Linked DNA regions of Macaca fascicularis. The protein of the gene in region 1 binds, or shares a complex with, the protein of each later gene. Links are inferred from orthologs where the notes say so. Each region holds a gene or a part of one and is shown in the gene's direction. Other genes may lie near its edges.

Region 1 (11,394 bases):
AATCATGTTTATGAGCGGCGGCTCATTGAGAAGTACATTGCAGAGAATGGTACCGACCCCATCAACAACCAGCCTCTCTCCGAGGAGCAGCTCATCGACATCAAAGGTGCCTATTGGCTGCCTTAGTCTAGGGCCATCTTAGCTCAGAGCCTGAGAGGATGGGAGGTGGTGCCAATGCACTGGAGGAGGAGATGGTGGGCTGTTTATGGCTAAAAGGAAAAGATGTGATGGCAGGGGAGGTCCCTGGGTTATGCTCTTCATACCTACTTTCCCTTTCGGCAGTTGCTCACCCAATCCGGCCCAAGCCTCCCTCAGCCACCAGCATCCCGGCCATTCTGAAAGCCTTGCAGGATGAGTGGGTGAGTTCCTGCAAGAGAATTAGCATCTTCCCCACTTGAAGAGAATGCATCGCTGAGTTAGGACTTGGGGGTGGGAAGGATGGAGAATTATTTAGATAATCATCATCAGGGTTTTGTGACATCAGGGTTTTGTTTTATTCTTTGTTGTATCCCCAGCACTGAGAGCGCCTGGTACGTAGTAGGTGCTCTAGAATTATGAACTGAATGATTGAATACATCCTGCAGGACTGTCTGGCACAGTGCCTGACACAAAGAGGGCAATCAATAAATAGCAGCAGCAGCAGTGTTGTTATCCACTTTTAGAGAGGTGACGGCATGACAGCTGGAATTTGCCAGTAAATTAGGGAAAGTAGGGATGGGAAAGAGCTGACTGCCACTCCTGTCTGTGTGCCCAGTGTTTGGCTTGGGGTAGGAGCTCAAGAGTGTCTGCTGGCATATTCATGGTGCTCGGATATTGTTTGGGTCACTGATACTGGTCTAGGCTGTGGGATAGGAGGCAGCATCCACTCCCCAAGAGCTGGCTCCACTGGGTGCTCCCTGCGCCCCCCGCCTCAGCTCACAGTAATATTTGCCTCTCCCAGGATGCAGTCATGCTGCACAGCTTCACTCTGCGCCAGCAGCTGCAGACAACCCGCCAAGAGTTGTCGCACGCTCTGTACCAGCACGATGCCGCCTGCCGTGTCATTGCCCGTCTCACCAAGGAAGTCACTGCTGCCCGAGAAGGTGCAGCCTGCCCCCTGCCATCCCCCACCCTGAGCTGGTTCTGCTTTGTAATATCCCATTTCTAACATCGTCTTTTCTCTCAGCTCTGGCTACCCTGAAACCACAGGCTGGTCTCATTGTGCCCCAGGCTGTGCCAAGTTCCCAACCAAGTGTTGTAGTAAGTGTCCCCCTTCCCTTACCACAGCCCATTTGTGTGCAGTGGCCCACAGAGCTGTCCTTATGTAGGTGTCTTTGGTGCTCTGTGCCCCTCACCCTCACCTTTCTTCTCTTCAGGGTGCGGGCGAGCCAATGGATTTGGGTGAGCTGGTGGGAATGACCCCAGAGATTATTCAGAAGGTAAGTCCTGCTCTCACCTGGTGGGAGTGCTGATGGGCCCTTACTTTTCCCCATCTGTCTAGAGTCCATCGTGACTAAAATCGCTATGCTTTTGGGAGTTGAGTGGTGCAGAGCGTGGATTCTGGGCCCAGATTGCCTGGGTTTGTATTTTGATGCCACTACTTGTAAGCTACATGACCTTGGCTTCCTTAGCCGATTTCCAAGTTTCATTTCTGTAGCTTCTAAACTGAGAATATAATAATATCCACTTTATAGGCTTGATGTGGGAATCTAAATGATTTAATTACTGATAAGTGCACCTTTTAGCCCTTATTGTTTTGGGTATTATTTGCAGATAGTAAACTACTTTTATATATTTTCTTGCTTTTTTTCTATGAGGGCAATAGGACAGGAATTATAATCCTTATTTTACAGATGAAAGACACATCAGAGGCAGAGCTGGGCTCCTGATTGCAAGTCCAGTGGGATTCTCATTTGCAGGGCTTTTTAGTGTCTTTCTGAGCAGTTCAAATTGTCAGCATGTGTCTGAGCCCTTGGCTGAGTGGCATGTAGACCTATGGGAGCTCTACAGTCCTGGCCTCCATTCCTGCTCTGCTATTTATCACCTCTGCAACCTTGGGCAATTGACTTCACTTCTCTGAGGCTCAGTGTCCTCAGCTGTAAAATAAGGTCATCAACACCCCCCTTATAAAGCTGGGATGGAAGTAAGAAGAGAGAATGCCTTTAAGCCTGTAATGTAGAAATTGGCAGATAGCAAATTCTGGGTGTTGCTTGTGAAAGCACAGGTGTGACCAGCATCCAATGTGCTTTTCTCCTTGCAAGATAATTTGTCTCACATTGAGCCTATTCTTCCCCAGCTTCAAGACAAAGCCACTGTGCTAACCACGGAGCGCAAGAAGGTGAGTTCTCTTTTGAAGCCAGGAGAAAGAGCTGGCCTGGTGGGAGGCAGTTGACCCCTTAGGAGAAAGGGGGCTGGCTGATCTTGGATTCATTGCTGCTGTACTTTGGGGGCTTTTTCATTTTCTCAGAGAGGGAAGACTGTGCCTGAGGAGCTGGTGAAGCCAGAAGAGCTCAGCAAATACCGGCAGGTGGCGTCCCATGTGGTGAGTGTCTGGGTCTTCACTGTCTTGGAGACAGCCCTCCTGTTTTGTGTCTGGGGTGGGTGGGCCAGCATGGGGAGTGCTGAGTACAGAGCTGTCCCGGGCTCCTGGCACTGTTCCTGGCGCTGTTTCTTGCCTGGGCTGCTGAGCTGTCAGGGCTCCTCTTCCTGCCCAGTTGTGGGTTTCCCAGTGATGCAGTGAAGGAGTTACCGCAGCAGGCAGATAGCCAAGAGATATGGATAAGGAGTAGAAGTAACTCTTGCTCCCCTGAGAACATGGGTGACTGGGGATGGCAGTAGGGGAGACCTGTGGCTTTGTGGCCTGCTGTGATTTGGCTGTGACAGGGTTTGGTGTGTCTCTCTGCAAAGGGGTTGCACAGTGCCAGCATTCCTGGGATCCTGGCCCTGGACCTCTGCCCGTCTGACACTAACAAGATCCTCACTGGTGAGAGTCTGGGCCTAGCCCAGCAGGCCAAGGTGGGGAGGGGCAGCGGGGAATTTGCATGCGCCTTGTCCTCTTCATGGGCATGGGGACAAAAGCATTTCCTTCAGCAAAAGGGCCTGGGTGGGCCTGACTCATTGTATGGTCTCTTTGGGTCTTCTCCAGGTGGGGCAGATAAAAATGTCGTTGTGTTTGACAAAAGTTCGGAACAAATCCTGGCTACCCTCAAAGGCCATACCAAGAAGGTCACCAGCGTGGTGTTTCACCCTTCCCAGGTAAGGGGTTCTTGCCACCTTTGGATCTTCTTTCCTTGGCTGTTGTTTGTCCCTCGCCCCCCTGCTGTCTCTGTGAAGTGGGGCTGAGAAAGAGCGCTGACTCCTGAGTGGGCACTTGGAAGGGCTTCACTTTGGAGTTGTGGAGATTGCCCTTCACTCTGCGTGAGACCTTCTAAAGCAGTGGTCTTCCAGCCAGGGAGAGAAGGGAAATGTGTAGTTTGACAAGCATATTCATTGAAAAGTTTTATATTAGGGAAAGAAAAAATCTTATAGTGTTCGTCATATAAACTACAGAAAACAAAGCTCAACTCAATCTCAACTCACAGGTATGAGGAAGACAGATGTATTTGCTTTCTCATGACCCTCCGAGACGGGTTAAAGTCATGTTGACTATTGAAAGTGGTGTGGGTTGTAAATAGAACCTCTGGTTTATAGGATAAAGGTAACTCATGGGACTGGATTAATGATATTATGGGATTCGAATTTCAAGCCTAAGACAGTTTGGGTTTGGGGCTGCAGGACAGTGGTTGGTTTAGCGCTTCCCAGTCGAGCTTTCCCTTGGACCTTAGGGAAATGAGAAATGTAAGAATGACATGGTGAATTTTTCATGACTAAATTACTCAAATCGAGGGCACTGTTTTCTTGCTTATGGGGTATTAATAGTTAGGTCTCATGAAATTGTATTGATAAAGATGGTAGTTATTTTTGCCTTGTGGCTTTTAATATCCTAACTAAACAAAAAATTGGTGAGTGAGTGATACGAAATTCTCTCCCTGCCCCAAATCTTTTGGAAAACTAACTTACCCTGGAAATCCATAAATGTGGGATGCACTGAAATACAGCCATGCAGCCCCTTCGAGTCCCCGTACTGCCCAGACCTGTGCCATACAGTACAGTAGCAATTAGCTACATGTGGCTACTTAAATTTCAATGAAATAGAATAAAAAATTCAGTCCCTCAATTATACTAGCTACATTCTTCCTTTGGTCCTGGAAATGGGAAAATTGCTCTCTGTTGCAGTTAGCCTTTTTACCACTAGATGGCGCGGACGCCTCCACAAGCCCTGATGATGTATGAGTTACGACTTGAATAGCGTTTACCATTGGCTGTTGTGGGCACCTTTGGGTGGGTAGGTGGTTCCAGGGAGGGCAGGGCTGAAAGGTGAAGCAATTGTTGGTAGTTTTGGGCATCCCCTGCCTCCTTTTATAACATTGTTTTGATCTGTGTCTCTTCTCTGACTCTGATACTCTGTCTTTGTTTTCCTTGTAGGACCTGGTGTTTTCTGCTTCCCCCGATGCCACTATCAGGATTTGGTCGGTCCCCAATGCCTCTTGTGTACAGGTGGTTCGGGCCCATGAGAGTGCTGTGACAGGCCTCAGCCTGCACGCCACTGGTGACTATCTCCTGAGCTCCTCCGATGATCAGGTGCGGTCCCAGCCAGTGCCCTGGAGAGGCTTGCTGGTCCCCAAGCTTGAACATCCTGGGTGGCGGGAACATCTTCCCACCCCAGCTGCTTCCCCAGAACCTCAAAGGAGAATGTTTCCTCTCTGCTGGGAGGTGCTAGGTTTGCCAGGGTTTACCAGACCAGGGGCTCTGTCTACCTGAAAGGCCACCAAAGCCTGGGACCCACTTTCTCACTGACTCCATTCTCTCTCTCTCTCTCTTTTTTTTTCCCCCCAGTACTGGGCTTTCTCTGACATCCAGACAGGGCGTGTGCTCACCAAGGTGACAGATGAGACCTCTGGCTGCTGTAAGTTGCCTCGTAGGCGCTCAGCCTTTTTGTTTGCTATTTATTATTTACTTTTACATTTTATTTAGTCGTTTGCTTATTTGTTCTAAAGATACATTTACCATCAGCACCTGCCTAGTGCAGGCTTTGTGCTGGGTGCACTGAGGACCGTGAAGAACAAGGAACCTAACTTTGCTGCTCTTAGTCTCTCCCTGGTGGGCTCTGACCACAGGTCCGTCTTCCTCCTCCACAGCTCTCACCTGTGCACAGTTCCACCCTGATGGACTCATCTTTGGCACAGGAACCATGGACTCTCAGATCAAGATCTGGGACTTGAAGGTAGGACACGGTGGGCTTCCATCTGAGGCCCAGGGCCAGAGCGGGTGTTTGTGACAACGTGGTGCTGATGAGGTGCTTGTGGCACCTGGCACTGAAGGGGCCATCGCTGGCTATGCCTGTGTGATATGATGGTGTGGTCTGCGGGGTCCCGCTGGCTGGCCTTCCTGGAAGGACAGTGAGGGACATCTCAGGTAGGGGTTTGGTGAGCTCCATTTTCTTCCTCTCATGATCTGTGGGTGACGTGTTTTACTACCCACCACCACTGTAGGAACGTACTAATGTGGCCAACTTCCCTGGCCACTCGGGCCCCATCACTAGCATCGCCTTCTCTGAGAATGGTTACTACCTGGCTACAGCGGCTGATGACTCCTCTGTCAAGCTATGGGATCTGCGCAAGCTTAAGAACTTTAAGACATTGCAGCTGGATAACAACTTCGAGGTATGCCCTTCCCCCGCCCCACCCAGCTTTCCATTGTGTCTCCTTGTTTGTCGATTATTTATTGAATTAATCTAATTGCTTCTGCTTATCCGCAATTGCCCCATAGTTTCTGTTCCCCTTGTGTGACCTTCTCTCTTTCTGTTTCTGGCAGGTAAAGTCACTGATCTTTGACCAGAGTGGTACCTACCTAGCCCTTGGGGGCACGGATGTCCAGATCTACATCTGCAAACAATGGACGGAGATTCTTCACTTTACAGGTAGAGGCTGGTCCTGGGCTCCTGGGGTCTCTAGGTGCCCAGGCCCGGAGGGAAGCCTCACTGGGTTAGGAATTTCTAGGACTTGCATGAATTTACCTAAGCAGCTTTCGGTTACCACCTGAGGCAGAGCTTTATGGCTAAGGAAGCAGACTGAGTCAGACTGCGTGGCAGTGGATGCTAGTAGTCGCTCTGCCACTTCATGCCGTGTGGCATTGGGCAGGTTACTGAAGGGAGAGAAAACTCCTCCCTCTGAAGGTTTGATAACTGAATCTGAAATCAATGAACATTAGGCAGAGTGACAGGAGGAAAGCCATTTTAATGACGTGCATATGCATGGGAGGCCCACATTATATTAGACCTGCAGAAAGGTCAGATGATTGAAGCTTATACAGTCTATATATCCTTTAATAATGGGGATATGTTCTGAGAAATGTCTTATTAGGTGATTTCATCATGTGTGACCATTGTAGGGTGAACTCACACGTATCTGAATGGTGTAGCCTGCTACACACCAAGGCTGTTGCTATAACCTTAGTGTAGTCTATTACTGCTCCTGGGCTGCAAACCGGTACAGCATATTACATGTAGTGAGTACAGTTATAACACAGTGGTGAGTATATGTGTATCTAAACCAATCTAAACATAGAAAAGGTTCAGTAAAAATAAGGTAGAAGAGATTTTTTAAAAATGGTACACTGGTATATTGCTTGCCATGAATGGAGCTTGCAGGACTGGAAGTTGCGTTCAGTGAGTGAGTTGTGAGTGAATGTGAAGGCCTAGGACATTACTGTACACTGCTGTGGACTTCATAAACACAGTGCATTTAGGTTTTACTAAATTCATAAATAGCTTTTTCTTCAGTAATAAGCCTTAACTGACTTTTACTTTATAAACTTAAAAAAATGGATTATTTTGTAATAACATTTAGCTTAAAACAAAAACACATTGTACAGCTGTACAAAAATATTGTCTCTCTACATTCTTATTCTATAAGCTTTTTTCTGTTTTCTAATTTTTTTAATTTTTATTTTTTACTTTTTAAACTTTTCTTATTAAAAACTAAGACACAAGCACACATTACCCTAGACCTACACAGGATCAGGATCACCAACTGTGTTAGTCCGTTCTCACACTGCTGTGAAGAACTGCCTGGGTAATTTATAAGGGAAAGAGGTTTAATTGACTCCCAGTGACTGGGGAGGCCTCAGGAAACTTACAGTCATAGCAGAAGGGAAAGCAAACACATCTTTCTTCACATGGTGACAGGGGAGACAAATGCTGAACAAAGGGGGTAAAGCCCCTCATAAAACCATCAGATCTCGTGAGAACTCACTATCATGAGAACAGCATGGGGGTAACCACCCCCATGATTCAATTACTTCCCACTGGCTCCCTCCCACAACACGTGGGGATTACGGGCACTACAATTCAAGACGAGATTTGGGTCGGGGCACGAAGCCTAACCATAGCACCAACATCACTGTCTTCTACCTCCACATCTTGTCCCACCGGAAGGTCTTCCGGGGCACTAACACACGTAAACCTGTCATCTCCTATGGATGATAATGCCTTCTTCTCGGATACCTCCTGAAAGGGCCTGCTTGATGCTATTTTACAATTAACTTTTTTTTATAAGTGGAAAGGGTATGCTTAAAATAATACCCAAAAAAGTATAGGATAGGCATACCTTGTCTTATTGCACTTAGCTTTATTGTACTTTGTGGATACTTTGCTTTTTATAAATTGAAGGTTTTTGGCAACCTTGCCCCGAGCAAGTCTGTCAGTGCCGTTTTTCCAACAACATGTGTTCACTTTGTGTCTGTGTGTCAAATTTTGGTAATTCTCACAGTATTTCAAACTTCATGATTTATTGTGTCTGTTATGGTGATCTCTGATTAATGATCTTTGATGTCGCTATTGTAATTGTTGGGGGGGCACCATGAAATGTGCCCATATAAGATACTAAATCGATAAATGAAATGGTGTGTGTGTTCTGACCACTCCACCCACCAGCCGTTCCCCATCTCTCTCCCTCTCAGACCTCCCTGTTCTCTTAGACACAACAATATTGAAACTAGGCCAGTTAATAACCGTATTATGGTCTCTCTGTGTTCAAGTGAAAGAAAGTGTCCCATGTTTCTTACTTAAAACTCAAAGCTAGAAATGATTGAGCTTAGTGAGGAAGGCATGCAAAAAGCCAAATAGGCTAAAAGCTAGGCCTCTTAATGCCAAATGTTAGTCAAGTTATGAAAGCAAAGGAAAATTCTTGAAGGAAATTAAGAGTGCTACTCCAGTAAACACACGAATGATAAGAAAGCAGAACAACCTTATTGCTGATACGGAGAAAGTTTCAGTGGTCCGGATAGATCAAACCAGCCACAACATTCTCTTAAGCCAAACCGTAATCCAGACCAAGATCCTAACTCTTGAATTCTATGAAGGCTGAAAGAAAAGTCTGAAGCTAACAGAGAGGTTGGTTCATGAGGTTTAAGGAAAGAAGCCATCTCCATAACAGAAAAGTGCACGGTGAAGCAGCAGATGCTGATGTAGAAGCTGCAGTAAGTTATTCGGAAGACCTAGCTGAGATCATTGACGGGGGCTACACTCAAAAGATTTTCAGTGTAGATGGAATAGCCTTCTATTGGAAGAAGGTGATGTCTAGAACTTCCACAGCTAGAGAGAAGTCGATGCCTGGTGTCCAAGCTGCAAAGATCAGAGTGATTCCCTTGTTAGGAACTCATGCAGCTGGTGATTTTACATTGAAGCCAAAACTCATTTAGCATTCTGAAAATTGTAGCGCCCTTAAGAATGCAGGGCTAAATCTACTCTGCCCGTGCTCTGTAAATAGAACAACAAAGTCTGGATGACAACACGTCTGTTTACAGCATGGTTTACTGAATGTTTTTTAAGCCCACCATTAAAAGGTACTGTTCAGAAAAATAGAGTCCTTTCAAAATATCACAGTGCACCTCATTACCCTAAAGCTCAGATGCAGATGTTTCATGCCTGCTAACATCCAATCTTCAGCTTATGGATCAAGGAGTAATTCTGACTTTCAAGTCTTATTACTTAAGAAATATGTTTTATAAAGTTATAGCTGCCATGGATAGTGATTCCTTTGATGGATCTGGACAAAGTAAATTGAAAATCTGGAAAGGATTCACCATTCTACATGCCCTTAAAAGCATTTGTGATTCATGGGAGGAGGTTAAACTATTAACATAAAGAGGAGTTTGGAAGAAATTGATTCCAACCCTTCAGCCCTCTTGGATGACTTTGAGGGATTGAAGACTTCAGTGGAGGGAGTAACTACAGATGTGGAGGAAATAGTAACAGAACTAGAATCCGAATGGAGTCTACAGCTGTGACTGAATTGCTGCAGTCTCATGTTAAAACTTTAATGGATGAGGAGATGTTAAGGATGACCAAAGAAAGTGGTTTCTTGATGGAATCTACTCCTGGTGAAGATGCCGTGAACATTGGTGAAATGGTAATGAAGGATTTAGAATATTACATAAACTTAATTGATAAAGCAGATGCAGAATTTGAGAGGATTGGTTCCAGTCTGAAAGTTCTGCTGTGGGTAAAATGCTATCAAACAGCATCCATCACAGAGAAATCTTTTGTCAAAGGAAGAATGAAACGATGTGGCAAACTTCATTGTTGTCTTATTTTGAGAAATTGCCACAGCCACTTCAGCCTTCAGCAGACATCACCCTTGTCAGTTAGCAGCCGTGAGCATCAAGGCAAGACCCCGCTGGGGGGTCTTGGAAAAAGATTACAACTCTCTGAGGTGTCTGATGGTTGTTAGCATGTTTTAGCAATAAAGTATTTTTGATTGGCCGGGCGCGGTGGCTCAAGCCTGTAATCCCAGCACTTTGGGAGGCCGAGACGGGCGGATCACGAGGTCAGGAGATCGAGACCATCCTGGCTAACACGGTGAAACCCCGTCTCTACTAAAAAATACAAAAAACTAGCCGGGCGAGGTGGCGGGCGCCTGTAGTCCCAGCTACTCAGGAGGCTGAGACAGGAGAATGGCCTGAACCCGGGAGGCGGAGCTTGCAGTGAGCTGAGATCCGGCCACTGCACTCCAGCCTGGGCGACAGAGCGAGACTCCGTCTCAAAAAAAAAAAAAAAAAAAGTATTTTTGATTAAGGTATGTACATTGTTTACTAGACATAATGTTATTACACACTTAATAGACTACAGTATAGTGTAAACATAACATTTTTTTTGAGATGGAGTCTCTATCGCCCAGGCTGGAGTGCAGTGGCACGATCTCAGCTCACTGCAACCTCCACCTCCTGGGTTCTAGCACAGGTGTGCACCATCACACCCGGCTAATTTTTGTATATTTAGTAGAGACGGGGTTTCCCCATGTTGGCCAGGCTGGTTTTGAACTCCTGACCTCAAGTGATTCACCTGCCTTGGCCTCCCAAAGTGCTGGGATTATAGGCATGAGCCACCATGCCTGGCCAACATAACTTTTATATGTACTGAGAAACCAAAAAAATTTGTGTGCCTTGCCTTATTGCGTATTTGCTTTATTGGTGGCCTGGAGCTGAACCAGCAATATCCCTGAGATACGCTTATACATAAACCAGTAACGTAGTTATTTGTACTGTACCTAATTGTGTTATACATTTTTTTTTTTTTTGATATGGAGTCTTGCTCTGTCACCCAGGCTGGAGTGCAATGGCTCGGTCTTGGCTCACTGCAACCTCCGCCTCCCGGGTTCAAGCATGTGCCACCACATCTGGCTAATTTTTTTTTTTTTTTTTTTTTGTAGTAGAGATGACGTTTCTCTATGTTGGCCAGGCTGGTCTCAAACTCCTGACCTCATGATCTGCCTGCCTTGGCCTCCCAAAGTGCTGGGATTACAGGCGTGAGCCACCGCGCCCAGCTGTTGTACTTTTATACAACTGCAAGTGTAATAGTTTTGTTTATACCTGTATCCCCACAAACGTGAGTAATGCATTGCACGGTGACATGAAGATGTTTATGACATCACTTGGTGATAGGAATTTTTCAGCTCCACTGTAATCTTATGGGACCATTGTGTGGTCCATCGCCGACATGTCATTATGTGACACATGACTCTATGGCATCCTGAGCTGCAGAAGGGAGTAGGGGCCTAAGGCTTCTAGGGGGTGGTGGTGACACAAGTTGTGTAGGGGGATGGGGAGGAAGTGCACTACAGAGTCTCTCAGGTAATAAAAGTTGTCTCAGAGCAGACCTTAGATAAATAATGCATGATAGTATGTGACAAAGACCGGCATCTAGTCTTCTCTCTTGTGAGACCAGTTCATTTTCCCTGGTTGAGATTCCCAGGGAGGGGATTCATGATGTTCCTTTCAGATGATCTGCCCTTAGATAGAGAAAGAGGGGCAAGAAAC
Region 2 (11,828 bases), on another chromosome or scaffold:
GTTTTATTACTGTTTTAAAATTCTCTCCAGACAACACACCTCCGTATTGTTAGCACCCAGAATGGGCTGCTTCTACTGCCTCTTAACATGTCATTACTTTTCTTGGAAAAAGTGGTTCTCAAAGTATAGTTCCCAGACCAGCAGCTTCCACATCACCTGGGAACTTGTTAGAAGCGAGCATTCTTGGCTTTGCCCAAAACTGACTGAATTAGCAACCCTGGGAGTAGAGCTTAGCAACCAGTGTTGTAACAAGCCCTCCAATGATTCTGATGCAGTTTCGTATTTTAGGACCACTATGTTAGAGTATGGAACCTGCCAGACCTAAGAGACTAGAGTTTAGGGCACTGGTAAATGCAGCCCTATGAGGTTGTGGTGTAAGGCAGAAAAACAGCCCTAGGTTTTGGCACACTTGGACATCTGTCCCTCCAGCTATCAGTGAAGAAAAGTGTCACTGAGTGGCAGATAGAATGTTTTAGCTTCTAGTCCCTCAAACAGTCTCCGTGATACAAACACTGACTCAGTTAAGAATCAAAGGAAGACTCTTGGAGACTGATTGCTAGGAGTGATGAACTTGAACTGGGTTTTTTCTTTTCTTTGGGAATCCTGCAGCTGTGCGGTATGTAGCACCTGTGCGGTATGTAGCACCTGTGCCACCACACTCACACTCACTGCTCCTCCTTGTGCTGCTGCTGTGTATAAATACACCTCCGATGTTGGCAGCCCACGGCCTGTGATTCAGCCTCTGTAGCGGAGACCAGGCACCCAATGTGCTAAGAATAGCATTTTCCATTTCAACTTTATTTGCAAGAAGGTTTTCTCTATTTCATTCATCAGATATTAAAAGTCTACTAAATACCAAGGAATTGTGCAGTGGTATGGGATTACAGTGGTAAGCAAACTGACATGGTCCCTGCTTTCAAAATGCTCTTTCTCTGGTTGGAGAGAAGGGGTTTTAAAAAGTAAATGCATCCTCTATTTTTGAATATTTTTAAAAATGTAAATGCAGCCAGGCGCTGTGGCTCATGCCTATAATCCCAGCACCCTGGCTGGCTGAGGTGGGAGGATCGCTTGAGCCCAGGAGTTCGAGACCAGCCTGGGCAATGTGGCAAAACCCCGTCTCTACAAAAAAAAAAAAAAAACGGAAAAATTAGCCAGGTGTGGTGGTGCACACTAGTCATTAGTTCCAGCTACTCGGGAGGCTGAGGCAGGAGGTTGAGCCCAGAGGTTGAGGCTTAAGGCTGCTGCTGTGAACCGTGATCACACCACTGCACTCCAGCCTGGGTAACAGAGTGAGACTCTGTCTCAAAAACATAAAAAGTAAATGTAAATACAAATTGTGCTAAGTGTGACTATGATGTCTAACTACTCCCCTCAGAAATATAGGAGAATGATGCTTCCCACACTCCCATTCATTTCACCTACTTAAATTCATTTCACCTTACTTCCCATTCACTTCACCTACATTTCACCTAGCTTTCTAAAGCGATTTCCAGAACTTAATGCCACGTGAAAAGATACGAAGCCTTTCTGCTGCCTTCAGGGACCTGCTTCTAGACTGGAGCTCATCACTGACATCGTATGCTAATGTTTCTAGAGCATTTAATGAAAGAGGCATTATGGCATATAATAATTATAACTGTTTTGGTATTTACACCTTTTGGTCCAATCATTTCTGGGCATCCCTCCAAAGGAGATAATGTGGTCCTTAGAAAAAAGCTGTACTGCTAATGATAGTTACTGGAGCTTTATATATTCAATCAACAAATTAAATACTCAGTTATTACTTTGCTAATGTGAGTAAATTGCTTGACCTCCCTGGGTGGCCTGGGTAAAATGGGGAGATAATCTCTATCTCAAGTTTGTGACAACTAAATGTCTGTGGAAATATCTCCCTAGCACTAGGCCCAACACAGAGTAGGTGTGCTCTGTATGGGCTCTTTTCACCTCCCCTTTCTAATTACGTTGCATGTTATTATACATATGATGAGAATCTATATAGTTTTTCTGTTTGGTTGTTTTTTTGAGATGGAGTCTTACTCTATCACCCACGCTAGAGTGCAGTAGCGCCATCTTGGCTTACTGCAACCTCTGGCTCCTGGGTTCAAGTGATTCTCCTGCTTCAGCCTCCCGAGTAGCTGGGACTACAGGTGTGCACCACCATATCCAGCTAATTTTCATGTTTTGAGTAGAGCCAGGGTTTCACCATGTTGGCCAGGCTGGTTTTGAACTCCTGACCTCAGGCGATCCGCCCACATCGGCCTCCCAAATTGCTTGGATTATAGGCATGAGCCGCCACACTCAGCCTCATAGTTATGTTTTTTGAGACGGAGTTTCACTCTGCCGCCCAGGCTGGAGTGCAATGGTACGATTTCGGCTCACTGCAACCTCCGCCTCCCAAGTTCAAGCAATTCTTCTGCCTCAGCCTCCTGAGTAGCTGAGGCTACAGACGGACACCACCACGCCTGGCAAATTTTTGTGTTTTTAGTGGAGGCAGGGTTTTGCCATATTGGCCAGGCTGGTCTCGAACTCCTGAGCTCAAGAAATTCACCCACCTCAGTCTTCCAAAGTGCTGGAATTACAGCCGTGAGGCACTGCGCTTGGACGAGAATCTATACAGTTTTGTATCACCACCACTCCCCTCACAATGGGCTGAATTTGGTCAAAAACCATTACTTCTCCCCTTCCCCTGGATTCTGAATGGTAGCATTCAGGTGTCAAGTGGTTGGAGTGTCCTAACTTTGACCACCATCGAGTGCTATCCTTTCCTTGGGTGCTAACCCACTGCTTCTCCTGGTTCCCAGGCACCCCAGCCTGCTGTCCATGTGCAGGCCAGGAACCCCTGACTGCCTCCATGCTGGCAGCAATACTTTCCCAAGAACAGAAGCAGGTGCTGAGTGAGTGACGCATGTGCCTACAAAAGAAGAGAGGGCCAGAAGCTTGTGCTGACCCAGACACCAGGGTTACTGAGATTCCATCTGGTTTTTTATGAACTATCTTCCCCACAGGAGAAGTTTGTTCCTGCTTATCCAAACAATGCATTCAAACCTGGCTGTAAAGATTATAGGAAAAGATGCACAGGGCAAGGTGGGAATGGAGAGGGGCTGGAGAGCTTCCATGCCCTCTCTAGGCATGCTGCGTTCCAAGCACATCAATGTGTTCACCAACCTGGAAACTCCCCAAACCGCATTAAGAGTGTTTATATGAGGTTTCATTACCTAGGCATGGCTGATTAAACCATTGGGCGTTGGTGATTGAACCCAATTTCCAACCCCCTCCTCTCCTCAGAGGTTGAAGGCGGGAGCTGGAAGTCCCAACCCTCTAATCACGTGGTTTGTTTCTCTGGTGACCAACCCCCATCCTGAAGCGAGCTAGGGGTTCTATCTTGAGTCATCTGCTTAGCATAAACTTAGGTATGGTCAAAATGGGCTCATTATGAATAACAAAAGACACAGCACTCAGGATATTCCAATGGTTTTAGAAGCTCTGTGCCAGGAACTAGGACGAAGACCAAATATCTATTTTTTATTATACCACACCACATAAAGGACGCCTGGTCAGATTCTTCTTGAGAGTGACCTTTTGGTTTGGAATAGTGAGGGGTACACAAACAGCTCTCCTAATCAGATCTCATAGTCTCATTCCTATAAGCATCGACTCCCTGGTTTGGCATGAGGTTGGTAAGATCAACTGTGTGTGCAGCCACTGCTTAGCTCTGGGAATACAATGGGTACAGGCCGTGGTGTCAAATATCTCCATCTACTGGGAGACAGAGAGACATACCTGACTATAGTTATAGGGTGTGTGTCAATTGACTTCTAAACTTGGGGACTATGGACTCTGTCTATAGGGGATTTGGGTGAGTGAAGCTTAACTAGGACCTCTGACAAGGACTGGTGGGTGCCTCCAGATGGAGAAAAGAAAGAACTCAATGAGCAAAAGCAGAAGCAAGGAAAAAGAGCCCGTGGTAAGTAGGTGAGGAGCTGATGTGGAGGTCAGGGTTGACTTGAGGTAGGCATGGACCCCTTGTCAAGGACCTTGTGAGCAGCATCAGTGATTTAAGTAGGGAGTTCTAGAGAATTTAGGTTTATTTTGAAGAAAAATCACCCTAGGCCGGGTGTAGTGGCTCACACTTATAATCCCAGCAGTGTGGGAGGCCAAGGCGGGAGGATTGCTTAAGTTCAGGAGTTTGAGACCAGCCTGGGCAACATGGTAAGACCCCGTCTCTAAAGAAAAAAAAAAAAAAGTTAGCTGGTCATGGTGATGTGCACCTGTACTCCCAGCTGCTACTCGGGAGGCTAAGGTGGGAGGATCATTTGAAGCTGTGAGGCTGAGGCTGCAGTGAGCCATGATCATGTCACTGCCTTCTGGCCTGGGTAAGACAGCAAGACCCGGTCTCAAAAAACAAAAACAAACAAACAAAAAATCACCTTGGACAAGTGGATTGAAGGAACAGAGCCACTATCAACTCCTCCCTAGCCTACTACATTAATTTCCTGGTCTCCAGGGTTCCAATCAATCCATTCTGGGCCTAGTGTCAGAGCACTATTTAAAATGATGTGATCATGTAACTCTCCTGTTGTAACTTCCGCAGCTTCTCAAAGCCCCCATATCTTCCAGGTGGCTTACAGCGCCCTCATGATGTGGCCCTCTGCCCACCTTTCCCACCTGATATGCCCTCCACCCCGCTACCCCAGGCTCTGGTCTTTTAGTTCCTTGAGTGTGCAGAAGCTGCCTCCTCCTCTCTCTGGCTCCTTTTCCTTCAGAATTCAGCTTAACTATCACCTCAGGAAGGTCTTAACCCCCTGCTCCATATAAAATAGACGATCCCATTATTTCGTGCCACTATGTCAACCTGTAATTTATGTATTAGTGGGTTTAGTCCAAGATATTAGTCTAAACGGCACCATTTTGTAAGCTCCCTGCTATTCTGCAGACCTCGGTCAAAGTGAAATATTTCACAGGGGTTTGGGCTGTGAGAAACATCCTGCCTAACCCCCTGACCACAAGGCAGACAAAGGCTCAACTAAAGAAACATCCCTCTCATACATTGCTGGGCAAAGGTCCAAGGGACACCATGATGACATCCCACCGGAACAAGGGCCAAACCGCCTCATCATGAGAACATCTTTATATCAATATCCTGCCAGGCAGCAAGCCATACTGCCCAGACGCCTCCCGCTCATACCTATACATTGCCCAGTCGGTAAGCAGTGGTGGGCACTGGCATTAGGCTGGTTCCCTACTTCTGTAGGTTATTATGCTGAACATAAAGCCTACGTTTGCTGTTGAGCTGCCCTCTTTCTCTGTGTGTGTGTGTCTTTCTTTAACCCTTCCCTTCTTTTCAAAACCTAACACGAGTCGGCAAACGTTCTTCCTGAAGAGCCAGATGGTAAATATTATTGCAGGCTTTGCAGGCTATAGCTTTTCCGCCCTTATAGAAGGAAAGCAGCCACAGTCATACTTAAAGGAATGAACGTCGCTGTGTCCCCATAAAGTTTTCTTTATGGACACTGAAATTTTAATTTCACATAATTTTCATGTGCTAAGAAAAGAAAAAAAAATTTTTTTTGAGACGATGTTTTGCTCTCATCACCCGGGCTGGAGTGCAACCGCGCAATCTCTGCTCACTGCAACCTCCACCACCTGGGTTTAAGCGATTCTCCAGACTCAGCCTCCTGAGTAGCTGGAGTAGCTGGGATTACAGGCGCCCGCTACCACGCCCGGCTGATTTTTGTATTTTAGTAGAGACGGGGTTTCACCATGTTGGCCAGGCTGCTCTCGAACTCCTGACCTCAGGTGATCCGCCCGCCTCAGCCTTCCAAAGTGCTGGGGCTACAGGCATGAGCCACCAAGCCCGGCCAAGAAAATATTTTTGTTTTAATTTTTTTCCAACTATTTCAAAAGGTAAAACTCATTCTTAGCTTCCGGGTTGTCCAAAAACAGACGCGCACGATGACCACGCACCATAGTTTATCGTTTGCCCATAATAATAGGGTTGATTCGGCCAAGGTTTGCCTCCCCCAACAGCGTAAGCACTAGGAATCGCGACGACCACGTTCCTTTGTTTATCACTGCGTACCGCACAGGGCTCCCGGTGCTTCCGGGTAGCGGGATGAGGGTTGGACCAACGCGAGGGTGGGCGGGGTCTGAGAGCTAAGCGTTGCGGGGGCGGGGCGGGGCCAGAGGGGGCGGAACGGGGGGAAGAGGGCGGGCCGAGTGCTGGCTTCCGGCGGAAAAGCGCGCGAGCAAGATGGCTACCACCAAGCGCGTCCTGTACGTGGGTGAGCAGGCGGGGTTGCTAGGCGGAGTCTGGGTAAATGCGACCCCCAGAGGGTCGGGCGTGGGGTGGGACGCATCTCTGAACCAGGAGGACGGCGAGCAGCTGTCAAGGCCGGGTCTCTGGAGGTAGTGCTGGCGGTAGCTCTGGCTCTGCTTAAACTTCTTCAAAGGCTTCCCACTGTCCTCAGGAAAAAGTGCAAACTCCTTAGCAGTAGCCACCTCTTCAGCTTCTTTGCTTGGCTTCCCAATTCTCTGGGTCTCCCGAAAAATGACCCACTTGCCCCCAAGGGTCAGGTTATTTAACAACCTTGGGCCTCTGCTTTTGCGACTCTCTTTCAGTGAACAGCCTTGCCACACACCTCAGGTGTGTGAACCCGAGACTGCATGGTTATTCTGACTTCTTCCTAGCCCGCTGAGCTCCACGGCCCCCGAGGAGCGGTAGAGGAATATTATGGTCCTCCAGATCCTCTCGTTCATTTGTTTTACAAACATCAGTGCAGCGACGGCTCAGCCCCAGCCCCAGCCCTAGCCCCCGCCATAAAGGAAGGAGTTCCCAGACTAGCCAGAAAAAAAGTGGAATTACCTCAGTAGCACACTTTTGATAAGCGCTGTAGTGAGGATGGACCATGATGATATGGGCCTGGCTGCGGGACAAATGACCCATGCATCTGGAGAAGTGAGGGCAAACTCTGGATGTGGCGATGCCAGAGCTGATGAGCAGGAGTTAGCTATCTAACCGAAGCAGAGGCAGGGCTGTTCACTGCAAGGGAGTCGCAAAGGTGAGAAATAGCCTGACACTTGGGGGCAAGTGGGTCATTATTCAGGAGACCCAGGAAATTGGGAAGCAAAGCAAAAAAGCTGGAGAAGTGGATACTGCTAAGGAGTTTGCACTTTATCCTGAGGACAGTGGGAAGTCTTTGAAGGAGTTTAAGCAGAAAAGTTACGGGTTCAAATCTGCATTTTCCTAAGATCATTCTAGTTGGCTTTGTGGAGTTGATGGAGTGGAGGCAGGGTCAGTTGTGAAGCTATTGCAGTAATCCCAGGACTAGATGAGAATCTGAAAGAAGGGCGAAGAGAGGAATATTTTTCATAAGTGTGGGTGGGCAGAGATGAAAGGGGGATGTTTGTGTACCCAAAGAACTGAATGGAAGGATCCTGTCCCCTGGCTAGCATGCTAACTGGGCTGCAGTGACTTCTGCAAGAGTATGGAGATCAGTGGCTCAGAAGGCCCTTGGCTTATTTGCAGGTGGACTGGCAGAGGAGGTGGACGACAAAGTTCTTCATGCTGCGTTCATTCCTTTTGGAGATATCACAGATATTCAGATTCCTCTGGATTATGAAACAGGTGAGTTAGCGTCTCTCACATCCAGAATCCTCTTATTAGGAAAAGACCTTAAAAAATTAAAGTCACATCGCAATTCTAAATATGCATTCTAAATATGGTTAGTATACACTACAGGAAAGTTCATGAAGGTGCCTGGTGACAGTGATCTTGATGGAGAAGGAATGTTCTGAGGCAATGTGGTTGTGAACTCTGAATACTTTCAGTCTTCAGCTGTTGGGTTGAGATAAGACAGATTTTTCAATAGACCAGTAGGGAGATAGGTTTGAACTACACTGAGATTTGAATGTTGTTTTAATCTACCTGATCCCACCTGCTCCTTCTTGGCAGCTGTGCTGTTAAATGGGGCAGCAGGAAAGCCTAACCCTATAATTGGAGCGGGGAGTGGGGGACAGGGGTGGGGATTCTTGGCCTCTACACACCTGGGTGGGTTTCCCTTTGACTGGTATCACAATCACAGTTCAGTTTTCTGTTTTACCTTTGTTGTCATTTTTAAGATTATAGTTTTAGGTCTAGTTTTATCATCAACCTTGCATATGATTGTTAGCAAGGTCTTTAAACTCTCCAGAGAGTTTAAAGGCCTGGGGAATCTTTATTTGCAAAATGATAAGGTTATATTGGCTTTTTTTTTTTTTTTTTTTTTTTTGGTTGGAGATGGAGTCTCGCTCTGTCACCCAGGCCGGAATGCTGTGGCGTGATCTCGGCTCACTACAAGCTCCGCCTCCCGGGTTCACGCCATTCTCCTGCCTTAGCCTCCCTAGTAGCTGGGACTACAGGCGCCCGCCACCACACCCGGCTAATTTTTTGTATTTTTTTGGTAGAGATGGGATTTCACCATGTTAGCCAGGATGGTCTCAATCTCCTGTGATCCGCCCGCCTCGGCCTCCCAAAGTGCTGGGATTACAGGCATGAGCCACTGAGCCTGGCCTATATTGGCTTTCTTTTTTTTTTTTTTGAGACGGAGTCTCGCTCTGCTGCCCAGGCTGGAGTGCAGTGGCCGGATCTCAGCTCACTGCAAGCTCCGCCTCCCGGGTTCACGCCATTCTCCTGCCTCAGCCTCCCAAGTAGTTGGGACTACAGGCGCCCGCCACCACGCCCGGCTAGTTTTTTGTATTTTTTAGTAGAGACGGGGTTTCACCGTGTTAGCCAGGATGGTCTCGATCTCGTGACCTCATGATCCGCCCGTCTCGGCCTCCCAAAGTGCTGGGATTACAGGCTTGAGCCACCGCGCCCGGCCTATTGGCTTTCTAAGGGCCCTTCTAGTCTCTGAGTTCTATGATTAACATTATTGTGCTTGGTCTTTCCAGTTCCTTCAGCATTTTCCTGAGGATAAAGACTGAGCATCTTTATCAGGTTTTAGTATTCATGCTTTATGCACAGTTGATGCACAAAATGTATATTGGATAGGTAATTGATAGGTCAAATGACCTTAGTTTTCTAATTGCGTTGCATGCAATAGTTAAGGTTTTTTTGTTTTTTTGTTTTTTTTTTTTTTTTTTTTTTTTGAGACGGAGTCTCTCTCTGTCACCCAGGCTGGGGTGCAGTGGCCAGATCTCAGCTCACTGCAAGCTCCGCCTCCCGGGTTTACGCCATTCTCCTGCCTCAGCCTCCCGAGTAGCTGGGACTACAGGCGCCTGCCACCGCGCCCGGCTAGTTATTTGTATTTTTTAGTAGAGACGGGGTTTCACCGTATTAGCCAGGATGGTCTCGATCTCCTGACCTTATGATCCGCCCATCTCAGCCTCCCAAAGTGCTGGGATTACAGGCTTGAGCCACCGCGCCCGGCCTAATAGTTAAGGTTTTAAGTTTGGCTTTGGTAGATTAGTTGAATACTTATTAATTAACAATACAGTTTATTATTCAGCTATGTCCATTAAAAAAACAAAGTTTATTATTGCTTAAAATATTGTATAAGAAGAATCAAAGAATGAGATTCCTTCTTCCTAAATAGTGATTGGATAGAACTTCTGGTGTTTGGATATGGCATGTGACTGACTTCACTTTGTGACCATCCTGTTTCCTCCCACTGCCCCACATAGTAATTACTTGTTTTTGTTTTTCCATTTTGTAGAAAAGCACCGAGGATTTGCTTTTGTTGAATTTGAGTTGGCAGAGGTGAGAGTCTGTGTTACTGGTGTTTAGTCCTTGGTTTGTGATGTTACAGATTAAAAAGGAAGCTTTTCACCATTTGGTTAGGTTGTTGGGCCTTAGGCTGATGCTGCCAGAGAGATCAGAAGTAAGTACTGTTCTAAGGAAAGCTTCTCTCACATAATCATACTGAACTGTGAATAACACGTCAGACCTTCTGCCAGGCCCTGCCATTCTTGCCCTGCAGAGGAGCTAGCTCCTACACCCCTGTTCATTGAGCATTCTTGCCTGGCAGTAGTGATTATTTCTTGTGCCTTCAACCATATGGCAAATTGTTGCACCACCAGCTCTAAAATCAGCCAGGAAGTGCTCTTTGTTAGAAACATACACAACCTAGGCAAGAAATGTAGAGGCGGCATTTTTCTGGATTTTTGCTACTGAACATATGTTTAGACACCATAAGCATTTGGCTGCAAGCCTAAACTTGTACCGTTGTCTTTCTTTGGCAGGATGCTGCAGCAGCTATCGACAACATGGTATGACTGGGAATCTTCATTCTAACCAAAGTTGCTTTTTGGTGGTACAGAGGGTCCTTATTCATATATCAGTGTTCTGGACTTCCAAAGTTACAAGGTTGCATGGGGAGGTAAAAATTCTCACGTGAAAATATTCACTGTGAATTGATCACTTATAAAATTAGTTCTTACTCAGACTCCTTCCCCATTTAATAATAATGTAAGTCCTCATCATCCTTGTTGACCAGTCTCTCACTGGCTGTCCCATGTCTAAGATAATTTGAAAACACAGTGCAAATTGATTGCACAGTTAACTGCATATTTTGCAAAATAGGATTTCATGACCAATTTACAATTGAGAAGAGAAATTTAATTATGGCAGGTGCAAATCACTGATACAAATGATTTGGATGTTCTGGAAAGGTCCTTGGGAAAAATGATGATGCTGTTTAGTATTTGTGCCCTCCTTGAGGTCCTTTTAGTTTTCATGTCTGATACGAAGTGCAAAGATATACTGTTGATAGAATTTTATTGGAAAAATAATACTTCAGTGTCTGTTTCCTTCCCTCCGTCCAGCCGTCCGTCCGTCTGTCTTGAACTCCTGAGTTCTAGCAGCCCTCCCTTCTCAGCTTCCCAAGTAGCTGGAATTACAGGCTCAAGCCAACAGGGCTGTTACATTTCTTTCTACCGATTAGTGCAGAGTTAATCCTGAATATTAATTGTAAGAAACTTGTTTTTATTATTTTTAGTTTCATCACAGTCATTTCCCTGTCAAACCTTTTTAAATTTTTCACTTTTACCATGAAATCTTCATCAGCACTTCAAGTGGATTCACCTTAAGTAAACTTTCCTGGTACTGATTATCTATGGATAATGAAATGTTCTTTTATTCCTTGTTCTGTTATCCATTCACCAAACATATTCCTCAACTGTCAGAGATCATTTTTCTTTCATTTCAAAGCTTATCTTGACTTTTGAAGGTGAACTCAGATGCTGGGAAACTGCATTTATTCTTGTAATTTTGGAGTGTTCTGAACCCAGAGTTACTTTTGGTAATACAGGTCTTTGCGTGCTGCTATGAAAGAAAGGGGTGTGTGTGATGGTTCTAGAATTCCCTGCAACCCACAGGTGGCTTTGGGGTGGGTGCATAGCTTACTCGTAGGGGCCCAAGGATTAAGGGAGGACAAATCATGAGTGTGTCTCAGAAGTAAATGGAAAGCTGGCTGGCCCTCTTTTAATCTAAGAGAGTTTAAACAGCTGGATTTTAATCTTTTCAGAATGAATCTGAGCTTTTTGGACGTACAATTCGTGTCAATTTGGCCAAACCAATGAGAATTAAGGAAGGCTCTTCCAGGCCAGGTGAGTAGGAGCAACTTCCAGATTCCCTGTGATGTTCTGCAGTTTAGCCTTAATTGCATTTTTTGTCTCTGTTTACTTGGAAGTAGATGCTCAATTCTGCTTCCTGGTAGATAGGAGATGGTTCACATCGGGAAGGGCACGCACCTCCTTTATAGAGAAACAAAAAGTGAGTTTGAGCTTCTCAGCAAAGCCAGAGTAATTGTTTCTGTTATGAGAGAAATTCCTGCTTGAGCTCATCTTTCCCA

What was found.
Region 2: PRPF19 (region 1) and PPIE share a complex: the UniProt entries of both Homo sapiens proteins name them as parts of the XAB2 complex. The link is inferred for Macaca fascicularis from reciprocal best matches to the Homo sapiens genes PRPF19 and PPIE.

Annotation. Positions count from the first base shown.
Region 1 is NC_088388.1:13,371,096-13,382,489, forward strand, and holds part of PRPF19 (pre-mRNA-processing factor 19), read left to right. Parts: coding exon 1-106; intron 107-282; coding exon 283-359; intron 360-940; coding exon 941-1,082; intron 1,083-1,165; coding exon 1,166-1,239; intron 1,240-1,355; coding exon 1,356-1,418; intron 1,419-2,275; coding exon 2,276-2,317; intron 2,318-2,446; coding exon 2,447-2,521; intron 2,522-2,886; coding exon 2,887-2,962; intron 2,963-3,124; coding exon 3,125-3,234; intron 3,235-4,503; coding exon 4,504-4,659; intron 4,660-4,914; coding exon 4,915-4,984; intron 4,985-5,216; coding exon 5,217-5,302; intron 5,303-5,570; coding exon 5,571-5,741; intron 5,742-5,892; coding exon 5,893-5,998; intron 5,999-11,394. UniProt on the Homo sapiens protein: Ubiquitin-protein ligase which is a core component of several complexes mainly involved pre-mRNA splicing and DNA repair. Required for pre-mRNA splicing as component of the spliceosome.
Region 2 is NC_088375.1:195,154,368-195,166,195, reverse strand, and holds the start of PPIE (peptidyl-prolyl cis-trans isomerase E), read left to right. Parts: upstream 1-6,231; 5' UTR 6,232-6,250; coding exon 6,251-6,281; exon of another isoform or gene 6,282-7,058; intron 7,059-7,525; coding exon 7,526-7,624; intron 7,625-9,692; coding exon 9,693-9,736; intron 9,737-10,218; coding exon 10,219-10,245; intron 10,246-11,501; coding exon 11,502-11,583; intron 11,584-11,828. UniProt on the Homo sapiens protein: Involved in pre-mRNA splicing as component of the spliceosome. Combines RNA-binding and PPIase activities.